3 linked regions of the Arabidopsis thaliana genome follow. The protein of the gene in region 1 purifies or fractionates together with the protein of each later gene. This does not show direct contact. Each region holds a gene or a part of one and is shown in the gene's direction. Other genes may lie near its edges.

Region 1 (5,659 bases):
TTTCTCATTATTTTTAAAGGTACTTTGCTTGTCTCTCTGGACTAGTCAAATTAAATCTTGTTATGTTTTTTTTTATTAGATCCAGAAGATGTGAATAAAACATTTAAGATGATAATATATACAAAATGATCAATGTCCAACAGGATATTACATATTGTTGGATTTAAATCAATCTTTGAACATACGTAAACACACTTAACCGACCATCAAAGCTACCGAAACCAGAAGATCGATATACCTTGTGTATTTATCTTCTCCAACAATGTATATCTTGTTGTATATGACTTTCTCACCGCAAACAGCAACTTTCTTCTCTTCGTCAATGTGGAAACTTAGGGAACTCGAAAACAAACAACCATGGGGTTTTAAATCCACTGTCTCAATCTCATTGGTCACCCTTATATCCATCTTTAGTTTCTTTGCACTCTGATATAATAAGGAGAGATGTTCTTCTCTAACAACTGAGAGAGCCTTAATATCATTTACTTCTGCAGCTTCTTGATGAAAGGGCACACATAGTAGTTGAAACCTCTCTGTTGAAAAAAACAAAACTGAGCAATGAGTAACCATTTCCCTTCAACGACTTGCCAGTGGATACTAAGTCGTCTTCGGGAGAGACGACATCAAGAAACTCCTCCATAAATTAGAGCTAAAATCATAGACTTCCAAGCATATATCTATAAACCTCAAGATTTTGTAGTTATGGCACAAGTCCTTGTTATTGTAACCGAGAGCATAGACCTCGAATATCTTGTCATGACGATTTATCGGTTGGATCCATATGGTTTTCTTCTAGAATGGGTCCCAAACCACAATGGTAGGTTCAAAGAAACTATCTTAACAAAAATGTCCTCCAATGGTAGGTTCTCAAGAAAAAAAAAATCAAATTTTTGCAAGACAATATCTTTCAATACAAATACAAGTATTCATACAACCAAACTCATACAAGTTTTGGTATCTATCACTTTCATTAAACTTGTCTCTTGCATGCTGCTTCTCTTCTTCTTCTCAATATCACTTTTCACTAAACCTACCACTTTCCCTAAATTTGTGTTTGACACACTTTCCCGGAAAAAGATTTCTGCAAAAAAGGTTTCAGCATCATTGATAGCATCGAGCTCCTCCTTTGGAATAGCCCTTTTCTGTTTATTATTCTCAGCAGCATCATCATATCATTGTTATTTGGGATTTTCTTCTCTTTATGTTCTTCTTTCTTTTCTGTTTCAACTTGATCTACTACATTTGTATTGCTTTTAAACTACGTTATCTATCACACAATAAGAATGTCAAACCCATCCTAAATCAAAATTCTGATTCTCTTTGGTTGCATCCATTTTATCTTCTTTAGGAAATGGATGGATAACTTTATATTAAATGACGTCGTTTCTTTGCCTCATTTTGGGTCAGAAAATGCTAAAGCTGTAAGCCCATTTTATGTTAATGGACTAATATGACATCGATTTCACTATGTAAGATACGCAAAGAAGGCTTAGTCCTAGACATATTCCATAGGGCTTTTATATAGATTGCTTAAAATATATATTGCTTCAAGGTTACTGATTCATCAATAGTTGACCCTCTCGTGCCTCTTCAATTCTAAGTCTAAAACTCTATACACCATATCTGTCGAGAGGAAAAATTGGCACCATTTATCAAGACACCTCGGAATCCGTTCACCCCAATACATTATACATGTTGACAAAAACTATCATCGTTGTATAATAAAATAGTATTGGTGCAATGAAAATGATGGTTTAAATGAAAAGAAATGTGGCTTCCTGTAAATCTATAGAAACTGTATTGGAATAGTTCAAAAACAACAGTATTTTATTAAAAATAACAAATTTAATAGTACAGTCTTAAGAAGTATTATGTAAAGATTAAAGAAAATTGGTAGCCTAACAAATCCGAGTTCCATTCTCTTTTCTAGTATAGTACTAGTTTAAATTGACGACAACAGTGGGCCAAACTAAACTATAGTGGCTGCGCTTATAGATCGAGGGCGAAACCGTCATTTTCTGGCCTTCAATAATTATGTGTGTTGAAAATATATTTATTAAGAGGTGAAAAAGAGGGAAAAAAACAAAAACGTCATCGTTCTCATTGGTTAATATGGATAATGATCTAAACATGTATTTGCTACTTACTGTAATATATTAGGATGTGCTTTAAAGTTTTATAAAACATCATCAATTCATCAGAGTCCCTCATCCATCTTCTCATCCTCCAACGCGAGATCAGACTTCGACAGAGAGTGCGATGAGTTCATCAACAAGAAAGCTTGAGGTTGTTTCACCAGTTCCCGCCGATATCGACATAGCTAATTCCGTCGAGCCTTTACACATCTCTGAGATTGCCAAAGATCTTAATATCAACCCTCTTCACTACGATCTCTATGGCAAGTATAAAGCTAAGGTAATCATCATTTTTCCCTTTTGTTCATTTCCCTTTGAAAATTAAATTATTCATCTGAATCTTCCTCTGTCTCTATGTTGTTGTCGGTACAAGGATCCAAAAGAACTCCGTTTTTGGTTATAAGATACTATTATGTTCGAATTGGTTTCGATCAAACTTAAATAAATTTTCAAGAGATTGTTAATGATTGAGTTTTTGGAGCTTGAGTAGGCAGTTACGTAAGCTCAAAGTTTATAACTTTCGATTGATTTTGGATTCATATTACCATTTTCCTACCAAGTAGCTCTCTTTTCTTGTTAATTTGCTGTTACTTCTTTTTTGTCGGTGGGCAAGATTGATACTTTAGTTTCACCAAAAACATCAGAAGCTGGTTAAACCAATGGTTCAGTGTTCTGAGCTAATCAACTGATGATTTGTTCTTGTAGGTTTTGTTGTCTGCGTTTGATGAGCTTCAAGGACAAGAAGATGGATACTATGTTGTTGTTGGAGGGATTACTCCTACTCCTCTTGGAGAAGGCAAGAGTACTACCACTGTTGGACTTTGCCAAGCCTTAGGCGCTTACCTCGATAAGAAGGTTCTCTCTTGCTTTCATTTATTAGCTTATGCCTTATGCTTGCTTTTGGACAAACTTCTCTCTTTGTATTGATTTGTGAAGTGTTGTTGCTTAGGTTGTTACTTGTCTTCGCCAACCGTCACAAGGACCCACCTTTGGAATCAAAGGAGGTGCAGCTGGTGGTGGGTATAGTCAGGTGATTCCTATGGATGAGTTCAATCTTCATCTCACTGGAGATATTCACGCGATTACCGCTTCCAACAACCTCTTAGCTGCTGCAATCGACACTCGGATTTTCCATGAGACGTCTCAATCCGACAAGGCTCTTTTTAATAGGCTGTGCCCTCCGAATAAAGAAGGGAAGCGTAGTTTCAGTGACATTATGTTCAGGAGATTGACAAAGCTTGGGATATCCAAGACCAGTCCTGAGGAGCTTACTCCCGAGGAGATAAAGAAGTTTGCGAGGCTTGATATTGATCCTGCTTCTATCACTTGGAGAAGAGTGATGGATGTTAATGATCGGTTCTTGAGGAAGATTACTATTGGTCAGGGACCTGAGGAAAAGGGGATGACTAGAGAAACTGGTTTTGACATTTCTGTTGCTAGTGAGATTATGGCTGTTTTGGCTTTGACAACCTCACTAGGTGATATGAGAGAGAGGCTTGGTAAAATGGTGATTGGTAACAGCAAGGCAGGGGATCCGATAACAGCAGATGATCTCGGTGTTGGAGGAGCCTTGACTGTTCTGATGAAAGACGCTATTAACCCGACACTCATGCAGACACTGGAAGGGACCCCTGTTCTAGTGCATGCTGGTCCTTTTGCAAATATAGCTCATGGAAATTCATCGATTGTTGCTGATAAAATCGCTTTGAAGCTGGTGGGACCTGGTGGATTTGTGGTAACTGAAGCGGGTTTTGGTTCTGATATTGGAACAGAGAAGTTCATGAATATTAAGTGCCGTTACAGTGGGCTAACGCCTCAGTGTGCAATTGTTGTGGCGACTGTTAGGGCTTTGAAAATGCATGGAGGTGGGCCTGATGTTGTTGCCGGGAGACCTCTTGATCGTGCTTATGTAAGCGAGAATGTTTCCTTAGTTGAAGCTGGCTGTGTGAATCTGGCAAAGCACATCTCAAACACAAAGGCCTACGGTGTGAATGTAATTGTTGCTGTGAATATGTTCGCAACAGATACCGAAGCAGAACTAAATGCAGTTAGGAAATTTTCAATGGATGCCGGTGCTTTTGATGCTGTGGTCTGCTCCCACCATGCTCATAGTGGTAAAGGAGCGGTAATCTTCTCTATTCGAGACCAACACTATGTGATTATATGCAATTTTGTTTGCAATCTCATCTTATTGATAGATGAATTGTTCTTGTAAATGTTATAGGTGGATCTTGGTATCGCGGTTGAAAAAGCTTGTCAAAACATTACACAGCCCCTCAGGTTTCTCTACCCATTGGACATTGGTATCAAAGACAAAATTGAGGCAATAGCTAAGTCATATGGAGCCAGTGGTGTTGAATATTCAGACCAGGTGATTGATTCCTAGACCGACTTCTTCAATTTCTTTGCATTGTTGTCAAAAGAAACCTGTTTATGTAACTTATCTATTATCCTGTGATATGTAAAATACAGGCAGAGAAACAGATTGAGATGTACACACAACAAGGCTTCTCGAATCTTCCCATATGCATGTCGAAAACACAGTACTCATTCTCACATGATGCATCAAAGAAAGGAGCACCTTCAGGGTTTGTATTGCCAATTAGGGATGTAAGAGGAAGCATTGGAGCTGGTTTCATATATCCACTGGTTGGTACAATGAGTACAATGCCTGGACTTCCTACAAGACCTTGTTTCTACGAGATTGATATTGACACTGAAACTGGAAAAGTTCGTGGCCTTTCTTAAGTTTGGTAGATCTGTCAAAGCTTCAAGGCTTTCCTTCATCGTCGTTTCTCACTTCCACAATAAAAATTTGGCGATTGTACTTTGATACTGAGTGTTTTTCCATTTTAAGATGAATAATAATAAAGTATCTTTTCCTTTTGATTAATCTCTGAAATACTACTCATTATTTGAACTCAAGGTAACGTTACAGATAGAACTTCTGATGTTCAAAAACAAAGAATAAAGCAAATGAATGACAGTGTTTTCTTCTGAAAAATCGTTTTATGTGAAATCATCAGAGGCATTGGAGATTTATGAATCAGAACAGCTTGCAGAAATCATGCACTTGGAGGCTTGTAAAGCTTCTCAACCATCTTCCTGTACTCTGCGTATGGAGAAACAAAAGAGACATAAGAAACTCATAACTGTGGTACTCTAAAGAAGTTTGATTTCATAACGACTGTTAAATCCCCTGTCTGTTTACCTTCTTGGTTACTCCAAAGCTGAGCTGCTTGAGTGTTCAATGGTGAACTGATGTTCGGTTCTGATCAACGAAAACATGTATCAGATATTGGATTAACCAACAAAAAGGGCTAACAAGAAATCAAAAGTTATGCACCATAGAATACCTCCCAGGAGGCTCTGAATCGATAGTAGTATCGTCCTCACATCGTAAGCAGATGACCACTTATCCTGCAAATATGAAAATGTTGTAAACGGATTAACTTTGGCACGTCTTCTCTGATTCAGTGTAGAACAAAGACACAAGAGGAAGGTATATTTTTACCTGAAGAATG
Region 2 (7,065 bases), on another chromosome or scaffold:
TATAGTTTCTTCAATGGAGATTACTCAATATCAAAGTTTTCATGAAGGTTCGAGTTCTAGGGTTTCCATGAACAGGAATTCACAAGTAATATCCAAGATCAAACCCAAGATTCGCATAATCCATATATTTGCACCGGAGGTCATCAAGACCGACGTCAAGAACTTTCGTTCACTCGTCCAGAGTCTAACCGGGAAACCGGCACCGGGAGAAGCCAAAACCGGTAAAAAGAGAGCCAAATCAAGAATTACGACTCCCCAAGAACCGGTTTGCGATGATCATCAGCCGGTCAACAGGCTTTCGGGTTTCACCGGTTTACTAGCAAACGGAGGAAACCACCAGGTGAAAGAAGAGTGGGGATCAGGTGATCAGAGTACTTCGAACACAAACACGTACTTTGATCTAGAAGGTTTAATTCAAGATGTCGGAGAAGATTACTTCTCTTCGTTTCCCATGAGATCCTCTTCTTCTTCACAAGTCGAAGGTTTCATCTTCAACAACAACAACAACAACAACAACAACAACAACAACAACAACAACAACAACACCAACTTCGATACAAAGGCTCATAATTCGTCTTAATTAATAACAGATTAATTTCTAGGGTTTTCAATCTTATTGATTCTGCAAATCGCATTTGGTGAGATGAGATCTAATCGCAACGATAAGGTCATATTTTGTGGGAGAAAAAAGGCATAGAAGTTGTATATAGATATAACAAATGGGTATGATGAGAGACATAAACTTTTGGCGGGACTGACTTTGCCAAGGTTGAGAGTTGTGATGAAGAGAGTTTAATCTACGTGCAGCCCTTCTAGGAGAAGTGGCTGTATCTAATTAAGATGTGGTCGGTCAAAAAAGCCCTAGTTTTATTATGTAACTTCATTGATGTGCTATTATTGGATGTGTATTAATTCTTTGGTGTGCAGATAAATGTGATGATTGCTGTACTTTAATTTTGGGGAAAAAGTTTGTATGGAATTAGAACAAGGATCGACTTGTTTTCGATATAGATACTCTGATTGATTGTGTATATTGAATATCGATACTTACATAACGGTTATTCGGTTAAAGTACAGTTACACTAATTAAATTAAACTGTAAGTTAACAAGAATATTCTGGCTCAAGCTAAATTATTTTTTTTATTATTATTGTTTACTAATCTTTTGTTACAAATGTTGAAAATGATATTTATTATACATGTAGTACTTCAACTAAAATAAATAACGTGTTTTCATATTTGATGTACGTGTATAATATATCATTTTCAACAGTGAGTAATATTAACCCTTTTATCAAAATAAAGTAAAACAAAATGATATAACCTATCAACAAAATGCAAAGAAAATTGATCCGAACCGAATATAGCCGTAACGGTACACCAAAATTGTTTTGAGATTTTAGTGTCCGTTGACCTTTTCATATAAAGCCAAATTATTCGGTCTGGTTTCCAAAAGAACGAAAAGGTATATGATTACGGTTTACTCCCTTGCTTCTGTGTTTTGGTTTAGTTTGGTTTACCTTCTCAAAGTTCTCGAACGTCAACATTTATTTTATCTTATTTTGTAAGGTTCTGCACATGTTATACTTATTAATTAGTCTACTTTTTCAGGCATTGGGATTATTTGTTTTAGTCTAAATCGGTTTTGGTTGCATAATATTGGATGAAAACATTGTAAAGGACAATTTCAAACCTGACTTTTCTAGATTTGGAAACGTTCCGGCTGCTTGAAAAGCTCACATAAATATTAGTATGATTTCTTAAACCAAAAATAAATGATGATTATCAACAATACCGTAAATAAGGCAAAGGAAATAAATGATGATTATCAACAATTGCCGAAAATAACCACACCGGTACACCGAAATTGTTTTTGAGATTCATAAAACCGGAATAATACGCCTAAAGGTTATTTTCTCCAATACCGGTTTAGTTTGGTTTGCCTTCTCAAAGTACTCGAAGGTCAAAATTGGAATTTAGTAATAAACCTGCTCCAGCTATATACAAATGTCATTTGCTCACCTTTCGCCGATTGATTTTGTACATCACACGCAGACGCAGCTTTTAGTATTTTTTTCAACAATCGCTTTTTTTTTTCTCGATCTCCGTGAAGCTCTCGAATCTCTGGTATGTTTCTTCGCTTCTTCATAGTGTTTCTCATTTCCTTTTGGTCTTCCATAATTTTCGGAGAATCTAGTCCTGTTTTTCTCTTCTTCTGGAATCTGAATTCGCCGGTGAATTCCGCTGATCGAATCTCTGAGTTTTGTTGAATTATTTGATTCGGCGATAAAACTTTTTTTGTTTGTTTCTGATTTTGGTGAGTGTTGATTGCTTGAGTTTTTTCACGGATCGATTTGTTTTGAGAATTGGGTGGATACTGTCTGTCACAGGTTTTGAGTTTTGGAGAATGGTGTTTTTCCGCAGCGTATCGGCCTTTACTAGGCTGAGGTCTCGCGTCGTAAGTATTTGAAAATTTTGTTTCCAGTTTTGTGTTTGTTCTCGTTTGATCTCGCTGGTTCATGCTAATCGATTGATTGGTGATCGAATCTATGTAAGCAGGGCCAACAATCTTCACTCAGCAATTCTGTCAGATGGATTCAGATGCAGAGCTCTACCGACCTGGTAAATCATCTCCGTTGCTTCGTACTTTCGTGTGTGATCGTGATCATGTAGTTTTCATGATCATGATCATATGTAAGTTTAATATTGGTTTGGGATCTGCTGCTTGTGGGGTCTTTGTTCATTTTGTTTAAATGGTGGCAATGCAGGACCTGAAGTCGCAGCTGCAAGAGTTAATTCCGGAACAGCAGGTTAGATTAGACTCTGTTTGCTTTAAATGAAAATTTGTGTTGTTGACTTTTTTTTTTCATTGAATGTGTGTATTATTTGTTATGTTAGCTGAGATTGTTAAGTTAAGAAGGCAGGCTAGTTGTAGTGAATCTCTTTGCTTTTCTAGTTTCCTCTTTTCTCACAAGAATTTTCCAATTTCAGGACCGTCTGAAGAAACTGAAGTCAGAACATGGGAAGGTCCAACTGGGAAACATCACTGTTGATATGGTAGAAACAATCATGATTTTCACGTTTTTGGTTTGTTTATATGATTTTCACCTTCCATTGCATAACTCATCATAATCCCCTTTGAAATAAAGGTTATTGGTGGAATGAGAGGGATGACTGGATTGCTTTGGGAAACCTCATTGCTTGACCCGGAAGAGGTACTGTATAACTCTCTGTATATAGTTACAATAGCTTGGTTAGATCCTAGATATAGAATATATCAAATGCTCCTCCTTCCTGTTCTAAGGCTGTTGATGCAATTATCTTATCATTATTTCAGGGTATTCGCTTTAGGGGATTGTCGATTCCTGAGTGCCAGAAAGTATTACCTACTGCCCAGTCTGGAGCTGAACCATTACCGGAGGGTCTTTTGTGGCTTCTCTTAACTGGAAAGGTGTGGCTCTTCTGTACATTATTATAAGTTGGTTCTGGATATGTCCAGTCGATTAGTTTTCCTCAATAGATTATCTTATGATATCCTTTTTTACCCTTTTTCGTATAGGTACCTAGCAAAGAGCAAGTTGAAGCACTGTCGAAAGACTTGGCGAACCGTGCTGCTGTGCCAGGTTTGGATATTACCTTTTTCGCTCTGGCTGTTGCAAATAAAGGAGTCTGTTTATTGGCTCATTCAAACTTGTTTGACATCAATGCTTACAAGAAATTGCTTAACAGAAATGAAATAAATTTGTGGGTTTTGTGTTATACTTTCATTCATTCTTAACTTGTATCCAATTTTTATACAGATTATGTGTACAATGCCATCGATGCTCTGCCTTCCACAGCTCATCCAATGACTCAATTTGCTAGCGGTGTTATGGCCCTCCAGGTGTGGTTCTCTAAACTCGTATTGTTGTTTCTGTTCTTCTTGTGATAAGCGTTGGAAACTTATTGTTTTTTTTGGCTATAAGTAAACAATTTTCAGCAGAATGATAATTTTCTTTACCTAATATCCAGGTGCAAAGTGAGTTTCAAAAGGCATATGAGAATGGAATTCATAAGTCAAAGTATGCTTTTGGGGTTCTGATTTAGTTCATGATAGCGTTTCATATTAGCTGGCATCATAACAAAGATTTTTTCTTCCAGGTTCTGGGAGCCAACATATGAGGATTGCCTCAACCTGATTGCTCGTGTTCCTGTTGTAGCTGCATATGTTTATCGAAGGTTAGTGAAGACTCTTTTTGTACTCTTTTTCATGTTTCTTGTAGCTTCTGGATTTTCGGCAATGATTTTTTTTTTATTGGAAAATTTGCCATCTCTTGTTTTTGCTTTGTATTGACTGTTGACCTTTTCCATGCATCATTGCAGGATGTATAAGAATGGTGATTCCATTCCCTCAGATAAATCTTTGGATTATGGTGCAAATTTTTCCCACATGTTGGGATTTGATGATGAAAAGGTGAAAGAGCTCATGAGGCTTTACATCACCATCCACAGGTCTGTATTAATTTTCGTCACCCATGCATGTCTCCTTAAATAAGCTTAATTATCTTGTAAATTTGTTTGTTCTTTTTAAGACTTTAAATAGACCTTTGTATAACATTTTGCTTTTCTACTATTTTTTGCTCTAGTGATCATGAAGGTGGAAATGTTAGTGCTCACACTGGTCACCTGGTATGTATATACTCTCCATGTGTCAATTTTAAAGGATTGACCTACCTGAAGTTTCTAATGGTTCTTTTGCTAAAAATTCTTGTTCATGTAGGTTGGTAGTGCACTTTCAGACCCATATCTGTCATTTGCAGCTGCATTAAATGGTTTAGCTGGGCCACTCCATGGTTTGGCTAATCAGGTATCCTCCCTTGTCTATATCTTGAATAAGTCTTAAATCTTCAATCTACAATAGAGCTTCGTAAGTGGCTTTTTGTATTTTATCTAGGTAGGTTGTGATAGTTTGATGATACAACCATAAATTGGAGAAAACAAATTCTTAGTCTTTTTTTATTATTGTTTCAACAGGAAGTTTTGCTTTGGATCAAATCAGTCGTAGAGGAATGTGGAGAAGATATATCAAAAGAACAGTTGAAAGAATATGTTTGGAAAACATTAAACAGTGGCAAGGTAAAAACAGGAAATTCCTCTGCCTTGACATTCTTTACTTTCTGGTCTTGTACCTGAATCCCACTTTTGAAGCCAGCCAACAAGACTGATGGAGCATGCGAAAATGAATTAACATCTTGTCTACTAGTCATCATAATAGGCTAATATTTCAATTTATTGTGTGATACTGTTATGGGTCCTCTTATTTACGACCTCATAGTTTGGTCAGTTGCTCTAACTGCTCCTAGTAAGTAATACTGCCATAAGAGCTTTGGATCCTGTTTTTCCCTATCCTAGTTTACCTTGTGGATGTAATGTTACAAGGATAGTCTAATGATGATCTATTGACGAGTCTTGTTTTGTCTCTAGGTTATTCCGGGATATGGTCACGGTGTTCTGCGCAATACTGATCCAAGATATGTATGCCAAAGAGAATTTGCCTTGAAGCATCTACCTGACGACCCTCTTTTCCAGCTGGTACTTTTTTTCTTTCTCTTTTCTCTTTTCTGTTCGGTTCTCAAAATTCTATCAATGTTCAGTAGCTAACAAAATCCTTCCAACTCTGTAGGTGTCAAAGCTTTATGAAGTTGTGCCTCCTGTTCTCACTGAGCTTGGAAAGGTAGTATCTCTATCCTTCGTTTACCATGGTGATCCTTCAATATTCCACCAACAACTCCACAACACCTTACCTACATGCTAGGGGCTTATGAATCTCTTGCGAATCAATTTTTTATTTACTTGCGAATCCGATGATGGCTTGTTACAGGTGAAGAACCCGTGGCCAAATGTTGATGCTCACAGTGGGGTCTTGCTGAACCACTATGGTCTAACCGAAGCAAGGTAAGAAGTAGACACCTCCTTCAAGTATCATTGAGCCTTAGGATAGCACTCAAATATAATATCTGTGCGTTTTATAGGTACTACACCGTGCTCTTTGGTGTTTCAAGGAGTCTTGGCATCTGCTCTCAGGTAACATATATATATTTACACATTACGCCTTTGTTACTACATAACATTTAAAACAGAACTCATATGCTCTCCATTCTCATTTGTGTTTAATTCACAGCTTATATGGGACCGAGCTCTTGGACTTGCACTTGAGAGGCCAAAGAGTGTTACCATGGACTGGCTTGAAGCCCATTGTAAGAAAGCTTCATCTGCTTAAGTCACCACCGAGTCCTGAGTTGTCGCACTCTCTCGTGTTTCAACAAAAGTCATTCTCTTCCACACTGGATAGCTTTTTTTGTTTTTACCTTCTATTGACAGAAGAAACATTTGTTCATGTAGAAATTGTTCCTGAGAAACACATGCTTGGTGCAAATTTGCATTTCCGGGAAACTCGTGATAATAAATAAACAGTTGTATTCAGTTTGCGTAAAAATCAAACATCAATATCACTCATGAATTAAAGCTTATCTTGGTTTTGATATACATAAAAGAAACAAGACTGCAAAATAGAAAACTTCGACATGAGTTTATCAAAAAGAAAATGGGATTAAGAGCTGCTGGTATTGTCGGTAGTAGTCTCCTTGTTAGAAAGGTCATCATCATCAGCAAGAGAGGCTGTGAAGTTGAGTCTCTCTTCGGCGCCGGCAGTGATAACCGGCATCCAAACATCAGCTGTGCCGCTAAGAAGCGTCTGAACCTGTGGATCAGAAGCTATAGCTGATGATATCATCTCATCCACATCATCTAACTTTGCTGATAACTTGTCCAATTCCTTAGCTATCTCCACCTGAAAACACAAACAATCACACACAAAGCCTCAGATTTACATTACAATGTGTACCAGATATATGAGTGAACACAGGATACAGACCTCATTGAGGTGTTGAGCAGACTTTGATGGCACTTTAGTGACTTCTAAACCAAGAGCTTCAATCTTAGAACGTAGCTCAACCTCTTCTGTATTTGTCAATGATTCTACCTAAGAAACAAAAATCATCAGTAGGCAACAAAATCATCTGTATT
Region 3 (6,262 bases), on another chromosome or scaffold:
ACATATGCATATCATTTCCCAAAACAATACAAGAAACCTGAAATCCAAAAAAGAAAAACCCAAAATCTTCGCTTCTTCATCTTCTTTTTACGTTTATATGGTGAGAAATTCTATGAAGGCTGAGTACGATATAGATCATCTTCCTCATCAAACCTTTTATGGTGATTATTCAAAAACTTTGGTTCCCATGAACAAGAACTCCCAAATAATAACCAAGATCAAGCCTAAGATCCGTATCATCCATATATTTGCTCCCGAGATCATCAACACCGATGTCAAGAACTTCCGCACACTCGTCCAAAGTCTAACCGGGAAACCGGAGATCACCAAAACCGGTTCTAAGAAAAAGATAACCAACACAAATTTTCCTGCGCCACCGGGTTTGCCTCAAGATTCCGGCCAAGAACATACGGCTGAACTGGACAACAGAATAATAGGGAGCCACGTGGTGAAGGAAGAATGGGGATCAAGTTCAAACACAAATACTTACTTTGATTTTGACGGTTTGATCGATCTTGATGAAGACGACAACATATTCTCAAGTCGATGGTTTGATCTTCAACAACAATAATTAGTTTGGTCACACCTTACCCTAATATGTAGGGTTTCTACTAATCGTAAGTCCTGTTGGTTTTGATGATGATTTGATCATTTATTCGATATGGAGCATAACAAGACATGGGTCAAGACAAGACCAAGGTTGAGACGATGATCATCTATATAGGTAGGAACATACATAACTTGTATATATGTACAAATGTTTGGATTTTTTGGGCTTGGGTGCCCTTTGATTTAATTTGTTAGACTGACTTAATTTACCAAGAAAGAGTGTAGTGATGAGTTTGTAGACTGATTTTGCCAAGAAAAAGTAAGTTTGTGTTTTGATCTCCGATCATGTGAAAACTCTACTTAAAAATGGTGTAACGTTGTACTCACGCGTGCGTGTGCAAGTTTTATATATAGAAAAGCGAGAATGATATTGTGATTGAATTTTTTAGATTGTTCATTTTTTTTCGTCAAATTATTTTGTTTGTTAATTCATATATAAGTCATGTTACTTACAACAAATTGTTTGATAAAACAAAAATGAATTCCATTAAACTGAATTAACGAAATACTATAATGATAAATGATTCTTACATGACTCTAAAAGAGTTTCGATTTGAATATATAAATGAATAAAGTTCTGTTTTATTGGCGATGTTCTTGATATATACCTTCAAAACTTTATGGCTAAATTACATTTTAACTTCTCAAAACGTTAGATTATGAAAGGTGGACTCACATTTCATAAACATTAAAATGATATGGTAATATGATTATAATGAGTTGTAATGGATATATGTCATATTTTTCCAATCTCATTCATTGAAATATCAGTTTATTTTTTGGATGACATAACGATCAATAGTGTCATATAATATGATATCCAATGTTTTAATATTAACTAGCTATAGCTATATCCATCATTGTTAATAGTTGTGTTACATCATTAAATAGTATTTCAAAAGAATATAAAAATTTCTGATAACTAATGGAGAATGAAGAATATCAAACCGCCCATTCGACCAAGAAATTATAATAACGAAGTTTATAACTTTTTTTTTCAATTGTGAAATGTCATTTTTACTTTATTTATTTCCAACAAAATAAAATTATGTTTTATCTAAACCCTTGGACTTTACCAAGAAGCTACTTTTTTATTTAGCAACAGCAAAAGCTACATACCATTTGTTCTTTATTTATTAATGACCGTTTTTTTAGGCATTAGAATCGTTACGGCTGCTTCGAATCTTGCGTCTCACGGACCGACGGAACTAACCAATCTCAACCGAACCCGAACATAACCTGTTCGTTTGGTTTTCTAAATGGTAATCAATTGGTTCATTATACCGGTTTGGTAAGAAGAATCCGTGTGTTTGGTTTACATATGTTGTAATTTGACGCTTGTTCATCACGTTGCAGATATATCTCAACATCTCTCAATTTTTCTCTCTACGTTGAAGAAACTTTCGAATTTCCCGTTAGTTCTTCTCCACGCTTTCTCTTTCCCTTTATCTCTTATCTGGTTAAGCCAATCTTGATTGTTTGGATTCGTAACCGATCAGTGTTGTGAGGTTTGAAAGAATGGTGTTTTTTCGCAGCGTATCAGCCATTTCAAGACTACGGTCTCGAGCAGTGAGTAGATTTAGCTTTCATCCTTTTTGTGTTTTGTTTGATGTGATACAATTTGATGATCAGATCTAATATAAGAAGCACAGGTGCAACAATCCTCACTTAGTAACTCCGTCAGATGGCTCCACTCTTCTGAATTGGTACTTTCTTAGGTTTTCATGTTCTCGTGATCATGCGGTTCAGTTTGAGAACCAAAAATTTGGAATTTTACCTTCTAGGTTTTGTGTTGATGTTGCTTAAAATGATGGTAATGCAGGACTTGAAGTCGCAGATGCAAGAGATCATTCCAGAACAACAGGTTTAGTTTCTACTTCGTTGTGATTGAGATTGTTTCTAATTTTAGGGCAGATTTCATGTAGAGATCAAGCTCTTCTCTCTGTTTTAGTTGATGTCATTTCTCATACACAAACACAACTTTCAACTTTCAGGACCGTTTGAAGAAACTGAAATCAGAACAAGGAAAGGTTCCAGTGGGGAACATCACCGTTGATATGGTACGGATTCTAATGATATTTGTGATTACACAAAGGCTTTATCTTTTAAACATACTCGTATATATAGTTTTACATGTGGTATTTGTGAAGGTACTTGGTGGAATGAGAGGGATGACTGGATTACTCTGGGAAACCTCATTGCTTGATGCAGATGAGGTATGGTTATAATTTTGATCACATAGATAATTTTCAGGTCAGATCTTGAATTAGAATTATATAACATATGATATTATCTTTTGTATCAGGGAATACGGTTTAGAGGCATGTCGATTCCTGAATGTCAGAAAATATTACCTTCAGCTGAGTCTGGAGAAGAGCCCTTGCCTGAGAGTCTTCTGTGGCTTCTATTAACTGGAAAGGTGTGATAATCTTAAAACATTTTATACATACAATAAGTTTCAACTTTATATATGAATGATCTAAAGTATAGTTTTCCCTCCTTTCGGTATAGGTGCCAACTAAAGAGCAAGCTAATGCTTTGTCAACAGAGTTGGCTCATCGTGCGGCTGTGCCAGGTTTGTAGTTCACCTCTAGGCTCTGTTTGTTTATGACCTCAGTTTCATGACTCATCAAAACTTAGCAAAATACAAGCTGATGATAATTATAAACTGGATATTATGATGTTGCAAATATAACAACTCTCCATTGCAGATTATATATACAAAGCTATAGATGCTTTGCCTTCAACAGCTCATCCAATGACTCAATTTGCTAGTGGTGTTATGGCCCTTCAGGTGGATTGCTCTGTTATGTACTATTTTTTTTTTCTATGCATTCTCTTAGAATTTGTTTATTTTCAGGAGCATCTTATCTTGTTGATTGTTATTCAGGTTCAAAGTGAGTTTCAAAAGGCGTATGAGCAGGGTGATATTTCTAAGTCAAAGTATAAACTTTCAATAGTTCTATACTTTGTTTCTTGATTGGCTTATAGTAGTAGGCATCATAGAAACTGAGGTTTCTTGTCAGGTACTGGGAACCAACCTTCGAAGATGCCCTAAACTTGATTGCTCGTGTTCCTGTTGTAGCTTCATACGTTTATCGGAGGTTAAATTTTAGGATCTTTTCCAATGCTTTTAGCTTCCTGGACTAGTTAATTTTCTTAGATTTTCCTTTCTTCAGAGTGTTATTTTTCAATGTCCATTCTAATTCACATTGCAGGATGTACAAGGATGGTAGCATCATTCCATTAGATGATTCTTTGGATTATGGTGCAAATTTTTCACACATGCTGGGATTTGATAGTCCTCAGATGAAAGAGCTCATGAGGCTTTATGTCACTATCCACAGGTTAGTCCTGGTTCTCTTCGTTTCAACATGTCTCATTAATTAGAATACATAAGCTAAAGTTTTCTTGTATATAATGATGATCTTCCTTTATTTTACCAACTCTTACCAAATTTCTATAGCATGATCAAGGTTTTTTTTTCCCTTGTCTACTGGTTTCTGTTTTAGTGATCATGAAGGTGGAAATGTTAGTGCTCACGCTGGTCACCTGGTATGTATTTGCCACATGATCTTGATGCATGATAATGTTTTGAACTTATAGACATTTCTGATGGTTCTGTTTTTGGCTAATGATGTTTCTTCACTTAGGTTGGGAGTGCACTTTCAGATCCATATCTTTCATTTGCTGCTGCATTGAATGGTTTAGCTGGGCCACTCCATGGTTTGGCTAATCAGGTATTTATATCCTTAATGAGTCTTATATTGTTCGAATCTACAAGTGTATATAACTTGAACTCTAAGATTGACTCTTAATTATAAGCTTAAACTTGGAATCTTACTCTGTTTTTTTTCGTTGTCTTGTTGTAGGAAGTTTTGCTGTGGATCAAATTAGTTGTTGAGGAATGTGGAGAAAGTATATCAAAGGAACAGCTAAAAGATTATGTCTGGAAAACGTTAAACAGTGGCAAGGTTGACAAAATTATGCTCTGCTTTGCCTTTTGAAACTATCCATATGTATTGCATGCTAATCATGACAGGCCATAACTTGAATTATTGTATAAATAATGAATAAAAGCTTCGGATTATGTTTTGATTATGGGGTTTGCCTGTGAATGTTGTCAGGAAACTTAAATAAACATTTGTCTTGCAGGTTGTTCCAGGATATGGCCATGGTGTTTTGCGTAAAACGGATCCAAGATATATATGCCAAAGAGAGTTTGCCTTGAAGCATCTACCTGATGATCCTCTTTTTCAGCTGGTAACTTTTTTTCCCCCTCAAATCTTTGGTCATGCTTTAAAATTTTACTGGCTCACAAATTATGCAAGTCTATAGGTCTCAAAACTTTATGAAGTGGTGCCTCCTATTCTAACCGAGCTGGGAAAGGTACTACTTATACTCATTCATTTCATGTGCTACCAGATTTTCTGATTTTCTCTGGTTTTATGAATCTTGAAATTGCTGTATCAGGTCAAGAACCCGTGGCCTAACGTTGATGCTCATAGCGGAGTGCTTCTGAACTACTATGGTCTAACCGAAGCAAGGTAGGAACTACTTGTGTATCGAGGCTTTGACCTTGTTTTGCTGAATCTTGGTTATTATAGAGTGACATTCCTTTCAAATATAGATACTACACGGTGCTTTTTGGCGTCTCAAGAAGTCTTGGAATCTGCTCGCAGGTACATACATACATTCATGCCATCGACAATTCGATTTTAGTACGTATCGCCATATCCTTCACAATAAAGTCAGACTAATCTTTTATTCCTTTTCTGTTTCAGCTGATATGGGACAGGGCACTTGGACTGCCACTTGAGAGACCAAAGAGTGTAAACATGGACTGGCTCGATAACTTCACGCGCTTGAACCGCTAAGTTAATCCCTGACTGATGTTGGTCAAGGTTCTCTCTTTTATCACTTCAGCCTTCTCTTCCATTTGATTGGGTAGCTTTTAGAGATAAAAAAAAAACGATTTTTCGTCGAAATTTTGTTCTACAGAGTTTTCATTTTGGTTCTTCTGCAAAAACAATAAAGTCAAACAAGTAAAGAAACAGTCTTTCTCAGATTGAGACACCATATTATTGTTCCTCAACTTTGATAGACAAATGATGACCATTGATATGTATTGATTAGTCTTTGGTGAATTATCGCATAATAAACAATACTCATGCAACCAGTCCCGCTCAAACAGAGTGTTTGAAGTGAACAGAAGCAGAGTCAAGAAATTCAAAGCCTCGGGATCAAACAGAAGCTTCCTCCTATCTTAAGAAGCTCCCTACGAAGCTTTATGATGATTCTACAAAACACATTTGCTATCTTCAGTGAACAGTAAGATGCAACGTGTTCTCTTCTAAACCTTCAGATATTTGGCTAAGTATAAGACTCTTCGTAATCACAAAAAGCCAGAAATGCGAAATTGATTTTGAGTCTTCTTCCTCACAAGTTTTCTCTAACTTTCAGAGGAGTCGCTGGATCCTGTTACCGAGAATTATTAGAAACCGAGAGCAGAGGTTTCTAGCTAGGACAGGAAATATATTATTAGAACATATCCTAGTCTTCCTTGTCATGGCCAGTCCAGTGGTGCAAGAGAAACATACAATTCCAACTCAAGTATGTGATGGACTTGACTTGCTTAAGCCGTACGGCATCC

What was found.
Region 2: the proteins of THFS (region 1) and ATCS fractionate together in Arabidopsis thaliana (co-fractionation; one large-scale study listed by BioGRID). This does not show direct contact.
Region 3: the proteins of THFS (region 1) and CSY5 fractionate together in Arabidopsis thaliana (co-fractionation; one large-scale study listed by BioGRID). This does not show direct contact.

The regions. Positions count from the first base shown.
Region 1 is NC_003070.9:18,699,805-18,705,463, forward strand, and holds THFS (10-formyltetrahydrofolate synthetase), read left to right. Parts: upstream 1-2,077; 5' UTR 2,078-2,259; coding exon 2,260-2,415; intron 2,416-2,840; coding exon 2,841-2,990; intron 2,991-3,084; coding exon 3,085-4,260; intron 4,261-4,359; coding exon 4,360-4,506; intron 4,507-4,607; coding exon 4,608-4,883; 3' UTR 4,884-5,134; downstream 5,135-5,659. Other genes in the region: AT1G50470 (F-box associated ubiquitination effector family protein), read right to left, coding at 196-488, 568-640; UBC20 (ubiquitin-conjugating enzyme 20), read right to left, coding at 5,201-5,247, 5,347-5,406, 5,492-5,555, 5,650-5,659.
Region 2 is NC_003071.7:18,314,266-18,321,330, forward strand, and holds ATCS (Citrate synthase family protein), read left to right. Parts: upstream 1-2,012; 5' UTR 2,013-2,127; intron 2,128-2,154; exon of another isoform or gene 2,155-2,317; intron 2,318-2,390; 5' UTR 2,391-2,407; coding exon 2,408-2,458; intron 2,459-2,556; coding exon 2,557-2,622; intron 2,623-2,768; coding exon 2,769-2,810; intron 2,811-2,991; coding exon 2,992-3,057; intron 3,058-3,149; coding exon 3,150-3,215; intron 3,216-3,337; coding exon 3,338-3,451; intron 3,452-3,559; coding exon 3,560-3,623; intron 3,624-3,800; coding exon 3,801-3,883; intron 3,884-4,011; coding exon 4,012-4,061; intron 4,062-4,140; coding exon 4,141-4,218; intron 4,219-4,362; coding exon 4,363-4,491; intron 4,492-4,625; coding exon 4,626-4,668; intron 4,669-4,759; coding exon 4,760-4,846; intron 4,847-5,013; coding exon 5,014-5,115; intron 5,116-5,463; coding exon 5,464-5,571; intron 5,572-5,662; coding exon 5,663-5,713; intron 5,714-5,860; coding exon 5,861-5,934; intron 5,935-6,011; and 5 more. Other genes in the region: AT2G44340 (VQ motif-containing protein), read left to right, coding at 14-580; AT2G44360 (ecotropic viral integration site protein), read right to left, coding at 6,590-6,829, 6,914-7,021.
Region 3 is NC_003074.8:22,190,761-22,197,022, forward strand, and holds CSY5 (citrate synthase 5), read left to right. Parts: upstream 1-1,969; 5' UTR 1,970-2,127; coding exon 2,128-2,178; intron 2,179-2,261; coding exon 2,262-2,315; intron 2,316-2,431; coding exon 2,432-2,473; intron 2,474-2,603; coding exon 2,604-2,669; intron 2,670-2,759; coding exon 2,760-2,825; intron 2,826-2,914; coding exon 2,915-3,028; intron 3,029-3,120; coding exon 3,121-3,184; intron 3,185-3,320; coding exon 3,321-3,403; intron 3,404-3,499; coding exon 3,500-3,552; intron 3,553-3,635; coding exon 3,636-3,713; intron 3,714-3,827; coding exon 3,828-3,956; intron 3,957-4,121; coding exon 4,122-4,164; intron 4,165-4,262; coding exon 4,263-4,349; intron 4,350-4,481; coding exon 4,482-4,583; intron 4,584-4,764; coding exon 4,765-4,872; intron 4,873-4,947; coding exon 4,948-4,998; intron 4,999-5,082; coding exon 5,083-5,156; intron 5,157-5,239; coding exon 5,240-5,291; intron 5,292-5,393; coding exon 5,394-5,486; 3' UTR 5,487-5,687; and 1 more. Other genes in the region: AT3G60090 (VQ motif-containing protein), read left to right, coding at 98-571.